2 linked regions of the Danio rerio genome follow. The protein of the gene in region 1 purifies or fractionates together with the protein of each later gene. This does not show direct contact. Links are inferred from orthologs where the notes say so. Each region holds a gene or a part of one and is shown on either strand. Other genes may lie near its edges.

Region 1 (3,523 bases):
GAAAGGTGTTAAAACTGAACACAGAACACAAAAAGTTTTGTGCTTTTATTGAAAAACTCTATTAAAAGAGGACTTATGTCTGGGGTGCGGCCAATGGAGGACTTAACAATGATTGACATGACGAATTTCACTAAACTCCACCTGTTAATATCAGCTCCCTATATAAGTTGGTCAGGAAAAGAAAGTTGTTGCGCACCTCCTTAAAGTAACTTTTGCATTGCATAGATGATAACAGAATTCTGTGAATCAAATTATTCATTTGTATCCAATAAATTGTTACAATTTTTTGACCTTTTTTCTTGAACACGCATTGAATTGATTGAAAATTTCAACACTTTCATCGATTTTTTTTTTCGTTCTGATTGTTTCAACACAAAAACTAAATTGGTGAAAACAAAAGAAGATATTTTAAAGAATGTTAAAAACTGATTGTCAATGCATTCTATAGAAAGAAATAAAAGTTATGTGTAAGTATATGTAATGGCTGCCAGTTTACAAATATATGTTTTTGTATTATTTTTGGGTGAGCTATTCCTTTAATAAGATCCTCACAGATACCATCTTGATTTAATGTATATGTTTGTTCTCTAGGAAAAAGATTTTGACCAGGCTGACCGCTATGCAGAGCTGGCCATGAGCGCTGACCGCTACAACCCCGCAGCCCTCATTAACAAAGGCAACACGTTGTTTGTGAAGGAGGACTATGAGAAAGCAGCAGAGTTTTACAAGGAGTCTCTTCGTAATGACTCATCCTGCACTGAAGCACTCTACAACTTAGGTCTGATATCAGAAACATGACATCCCAAGGGGTTACACCGCATGAGATCCTTGCTACATTCAAAACTATTATTAATCTCTTTATCATCATGCAGGTTTGACGTATAAGAGGCTGGGTAGACTGGAGGAAGCTCTGGATTGTTTTCTCAAACTGCATGCCATCCTCAGAAACAGTGCTCAGGTCATGTACCAGCTGGCTAATCTGTATCCTTCCTTAAAATGTTACCATCACTATTAAATAAAAGCCTGTTATATAGTTACTTTCCAGTATGTAATTTGCCAATAAATGGCCTGACTTAAGAGGGAGAATTATAGTGTATGTTTATTTGTTTGGTAAGAGTCAATATTCCTGAAGCAGCTTTAGATATGAGATGTTGGAGGACCCTCATCAGGCCATCGAGTGGCTAATGCAGCTCACCAGTGTGACCCCTACAGATGCACAGGTGCTGGCCAAACTCGGAGACCTCTATGACAATGAAGGAGACAAATCTCAGGCCTTTCAGTATTATTATGAGGTAAACAAAAAATATATTCCCCTAAACCAACCACTGAATGGTTCAGTCTCATAGTTTAATCTCAAGTGATTTGGACATAAGGTTCTGCTAAATGACTAAATGAATGTAAAAGCAGGAGTAGAAACAGTTGAATTAAAAATAGTGATTCATTGAAATGTTAAATGTCATTCATATGAAATACAAAAATATTAAAGGGATAGTTGACCCAAAAATGAAAATCTACCGACTATTCACTCGGCTTTAAGTGGTTCTAAACCTGTTTCTTTGTTCTGTTCACAAAAGAATATGTTTTGATAAAAAATGTTGGAAACCTGTAATTACCGAATCCCATAGTAGGAAAAACAAATATGCGAATCAACTGTTACTGCTTTCCAACATTTTTAAAACATTTTGTGTTCAACAGGGAAAAATCACAGTTTTGTTACAAGTGAAGGGTGAGTAAATGATGTCAGAGTTTTCAGTTTTTGATGAACAATCCCTTTAATAAATCTCAAATTATTGAATGTAATAATTTAAGACATGTCAAGTAATTCATTGTAAATATCAATCATTTACATTTTTAACTGCAAACAGAGACTTGTAAAACTGCCTGTTTGTTAATTTAATAAGTTTGTTTCAATTATTTAAAAAAAAAAAGTGTAGTCCGAGCCATTGTTTGATTTTATTTTCCCCGTTCTGTGTTTATCTCTGACAAAATCTTTAAAATTTGGTATTAGAAAAAGAGAGAGACCTTCAAAACTATTTGCTGACATTTAAAAAAAAAAAAATTTTAACTTTAAGTTTATATGTAAAAGCTGCTCTGTGTCTGCTAAAATTCACTATAAATACATAATGTTGCATATAAGCCAGAGAAAACGTATACCTCTTTAGCCCTATTGTTAAAGTATGCAGTTATAATTGCAGTTTAAATGCGTTCTGAGCTGGATCAAACAGCCTGTGTAAAGACACCCAAATGCTACATCTGAGCCCCGTTTTAAGTATAAGTTGGGAATTTAAGAAACCATGTAACACAGTCAAGTTGAAGCTGCTCTGTGTCTGCTCAAAATTCATGATACGGACATAATGCTGCATAAAACCTGTTTAAATTATGCCTGCTCTGCCACTAGTATTAGTTGTAATTGCTGTGTAAATCCTTTTATTCCAACTTTCAGCATGATTATACACTGTAAAGCTTCTGTGCTATCTTTGTTTTTAAATATGGCAGTATTAAGATATGCCAAGATATTGAGATCACAGTATTGTAAATGATCAAAAACTGTTGTTAAAAGATTTTGAAAGAGGAAACGGGAAATTTTATTGAAATAATGCTGTTTATTTCAGTCGTACAGGTATTTTCCCTCAAACATTAGTGTCATTGAGTGGTTGGGTGCATATTACATCGACACCCAGTTCTGTGAGAAAGCAATTCAGTACTTTGAGAGAGCTACCCTAATTCAGTAAGTGGCTAAACTTCATATCTATTTACATGAATATTCTGCCTGGATCTGGAGATATATTCTTGATTTTTGTTGAATTTCAGGCCAACACAGGTGAAGTGGCAGCTTATGGTGGCCAGCTGTTACAGGAGAAGTGGTATGAGGTTAGATGTAATGACAATAATAAGAAAGTTCCATCTCAGTGCCATCAATTTTGTCACATTTATTTGTTTCAGGGAATTATCAGAAGGCACTTGAGACCTACAAGGAGATCCATCGCAAATTTCCTGAAAATGTTGAATGTAATGAGCTCAATGTTTACTTTGTTTTGATATTCAGTGCCCATCTCTTGACTTTACATCTCATATCTTTTTTTATTGTCGAGAAGGTTTGCGATTCCTGGTCCGGCTTTGCACAGATATGGGACTAAAAGAGGTGCAGGACTACGCCACCAAACTCAAGAAAGTTGAAAAAATGAAGGAGATCAGAGAGCAGGTACACGGTTTGGTCTTCCTGCAGTTTATATGCTGGCCTCTTCTGTGTCCTTAAATGGAAGAAAATAGGAGTAAAAGAGAAGAGTGAAGAAAAAACACATATAGCTGTCTAGAGGGATAATTCACAGTCTCTAAATCAAGTGTGTAGAGTTTCAATGTTTAGAATATAGGACTACAAGAAAAAGGAGATGAGCTGGATTTCTTTTTCTATTGGACACCCATGAATAACAATTGAGGAAGCTGTGTGTTGTTCTGGATATGGGTCAAAAAAATTGTCGCCCCATTTTGTTGACTGTATTAAAAAACATTTATATGCATAAAG
Region 2 (3,285 bases), on another chromosome or scaffold:
TGCCTTGTGTAGTGAACTGTAGCTGGAGGTTTGGAGCGATGCAGCTCGCTAATGCTCTCAATCCAGTTTTCTATAGCTTTAGGGTTCTTCTCAGGGTTTTCAATGCTCTTAATTTTCACTTCCTGTGAAAGAGAAGTGCATCACAGTGTTATTTTAGTTGTCAGGCTGCAATCTTCAAAGTGTCTTCATTAGTCTTCTAGTGCGTGCGAAGACTTACTGTGACGTTGTGCTGTTTGCTGTTCTCTGAGAGCCACAGGGAAAGCACTGTCGGATCTGACTGTTTAGTGCACGGCTCATCCAGAACCAGCAGACCCAGATTGTCAGGCTTTCCGTCAGGCCGTGGTACCTGTAAAACGCAAAGAGAAAATGTATAATGAAGCTGGAAATGCAGCAGTGCTTCAAGTGTGAGATGTTTAACTTACTTTGAGGAAAGCATCAATGTCTCCCACAGCTGGGATAAAATCGGGGATAAAGGGTTTCAGTTTGTGGTCAAGCTCTATCGTCTGTGGAGTGTATCTAAAGAATACAGTTTACAATTAATACCAGTAAAAAGTGAAATGACCTTGTTTTGGTTGTTTCTTCAAGATTTTATTTTTTTTTTACTTTCTGAAGATGATAACTTAATGGTCTTAAAAACCTTTTACATATTTATTTTTACAAATTTAAAAAATGTGATTATATTTAAATAACTGTATTTATAATAATTACTTTATACAGTCAGAATTATTAGCCCTCCTGAATTATAAGCCCCCTGTATATTTTTTCCACAATTTCTGTTTAATGGAAAGAAGATTTTTTCAACACATTTCTAAAAATAATTGTTTAAAAAACTTAAAAAATATATACAAAATAAATAAATTCAATAAAAAAATAACATCATATAAATTGAGTAAGTAAACCAAACCAAAAGACATACAAGAAAAAAGGGAAGTAAAAAAAAAGAAAAAAAAAAAAGGTGGGGGGGGGGGTGGGGGGGATGGTTGCTAATATCATAGCCTTAATCATTATTTTGTCTCGTTACATGTTTGCTAACATTTTGGGTCGCTGAAATTTTACCCATTTATCAAAATAAATTTAAATTCTTCCATGTAAACTGTAGGAGAGTTTTTCAAAAGCTGCAACTTGTCCTAACCCTGAGATCCACTCAAAGATTGAGGTCAACTGGAAGATTTCCAGTTTTTAACAATCACTCATCTGCCCAGCATGATACAGCTCTGTATCCACTGTGATTCAGCTTTATTCATGTGGCTTAAGGGACAGGGGTCACCAAGCATGTATATAAAAACTCATTTTTAATAACTGATCAATTTTATCTTTGCCATGATGACAGTACATAATATTTGACTAGATGTTTTTCTAAACTCTTCTATACAGCTTAAAGTGACATTTAAAGGCTTAACTGGGTTATTTAGGTTAACTAGGAAAGTAAGGGTAAATAGGCAAGTCATCTCCTTGAGTAACAATGTTTGTTCTGTAACCAATCGAAAAAAGGAGGCTAATAATAATGACTTTAAAATGGTTTTCAAAAAAAAAATAGAAAACTGCTTTTATTCTAGCCGAAATGAAGCAAATAAGACTTTCTCTAGAAGAAAAAATAGTATAGGAAATACTGTGAAAATTTCCTTACTCTGTTAAACATTGTTTGGGAAACATTTGAAAAAAAATTACTTGAGGGCTAATAATTGTGACTTCAACTGTACATAAATATCATGTTACCTAATTGCTAATGATCTGTTTATCATTTTCAATCAAGCAGTAATTTTATAAAATTAAATGTACGACATATTACAAAAGACAGAATTAAAAGAGTTTAATTCTAAAACTCACAATCATTTTCACCAGATAATGCCTTTGAAAAAAAATAATTATTAGATGCTCAAAATGTTTGAATTATTCTTAAAGTTTTATGACACAATAATATTATTTTTTACAGTGTTAAGGCTCATTCACCAAGAGTGATAACTATAGCCCTAATGTTAGCATTAATGTAAATGCAAATTCAGCTTATAAGCATGCACTGCAGCTTTGTCACATTCCTTTAAACACTGTTTCTTGTAAAGGTGTGAAGTGGTTGCATGCTGACCTTGTGATATACTGAAACAGCTCTTTGATCTCGCCTGTCACAGGAAGATGCTCGTAATCAGCCGGGTCATAAGCACTATGAAGAGTCATACATAAATGCATAAATAAACGTACATTATGTTCAAAAATCATAAACTATCTTTTGGTTTAGTATAGATTATGTAGTATAAAGCACCACATACCATTATTAAAATACACAATATCCAACAACTAATCAATAATTTTGATTCATTTAGCTAAAAGAAAAAAAAATATGAATATCAGTGATTCTCTTTCATTATTTTCACACACACGCACACAAGAAAAGGTCCCATTTTATATTAAGTGTCCCTAACTACTATGTACTTACATCAAAAAAATAAATACAATGCACTTACTGTGTTTATAATGTATTTGAGAACACTTGTGGTGCTTTTGAGTTGGGATAGAGGTTGGGTTATGGACAGGTTTGGTGGCATGGGTAGGTTTAAGGGTGGGTTAAGGTGTAGGGAATGGTCAGCAGTGTATTTACAAATGTAATTACAAAAGTTAATTACAGATGTAATTACATACATGTATTTAATCAAGCATAAGTACACAGTAAATACATGTATTTACTTAATAAGTACATTGTAACAACGTAAGTACATGTAGGTACATGTAAGTTCCTATGTAGTTAAGGCCACTTAATATAAAGACCAAAAAAAATTGAAATACCTTTTGGTTTTGAGAAGATTATGTATTATAATGCACCAAGTACTATCATTAAAATACATTTTCAACAAATAATCTATCACTTTTATTCATTTAGCTAAAAGTAAATAAAATATTTAAGTCAGTCATTCTGTCTTTCTATTTCACCACAAAAAAAATGATAAAATACCTTTTGGTTTTAAGTAGATACTGTATTATAATCCTCTAAACACTAAATTTATTACTGAAACTTTACTTTTCTTTTTACTTTTTTTTTTAATTCTACTCCTTTCAGCAGACGGTGTGTGAGTAAATAATGGCTAGCAGCTCTACCCTTCTGGAGCAGATCCTGGCTCCTCTTCCTCCTCATCAGATTCTGTGTCATCAGAATCATCATCATCGTCGTCATCATCATCATCCTCATCTTCTTCTTCATCATTCTTATTAGCACCGCGGGGACCAGGTGGTGGCTCTTTCTTTCTCTGTTGTCAAATGTGAATGAGTTATGCATCGAAATCATAAGTCCAAGGC

Evidence for each region. Proteins that work in one complex are often made in the same cells at the same time.
Region 2: the proteins of ift88 (region 1) and ift46 purify together in Homo sapiens (affinity purification with mass spectrometry; 3 studies listed by BioGRID and IntAct, with this or other methods). This does not show direct contact. The link is inferred for Danio rerio from reciprocal best matches to the Homo sapiens genes IFT88 and IFT46.

The regions. Positions count from the first base shown.
Region 1 is NC_133184.1:22,989,347-22,992,869, reverse strand, and holds part of ift88 (intraflagellar transport protein 88 homolog), read left to right. Parts: intron 1-591; coding exon 592-778; intron 779-872; coding exon 873-981; intron 982-1,141; coding exon 1,142-1,292; intron 1,293-2,612; coding exon 2,613-2,728; intron 2,729-2,811; coding exon 2,812-2,864; intron 2,865-2,943; coding exon 2,944-3,009; intron 3,010-3,095; coding exon 3,096-3,202; intron 3,203-3,523. UniProt on the Homo sapiens protein: Positively regulates primary cilium biogenesis. Also involved in autophagy since it is required for trafficking of ATG16L and the expansion of the autophagic compartment.
Region 2 is NC_133185.1:34,664,273-34,667,557, forward strand, and holds part of ift46 (intraflagellar transport protein 46 homolog), read right to left. Parts: exon of another isoform or gene 3,237-3,285; coding exon 3,088-3,236; exon of another isoform or gene 3,050-3,087; intron 2,159-3,049; coding exon 2,084-2,158; intron 517-2,083; coding exon 423-516; intron 347-422; coding exon 218-346; intron 123-217; coding exon 4-122; intron 1-3. UniProt on the Homo sapiens protein: Forms part of a complex involved in intraflagellar transport (IFT), the bi-directional movement of particles required for the assembly, maintenance and functioning of primary cilia. May play a role in chondrocyte maturation and skeletogenesis.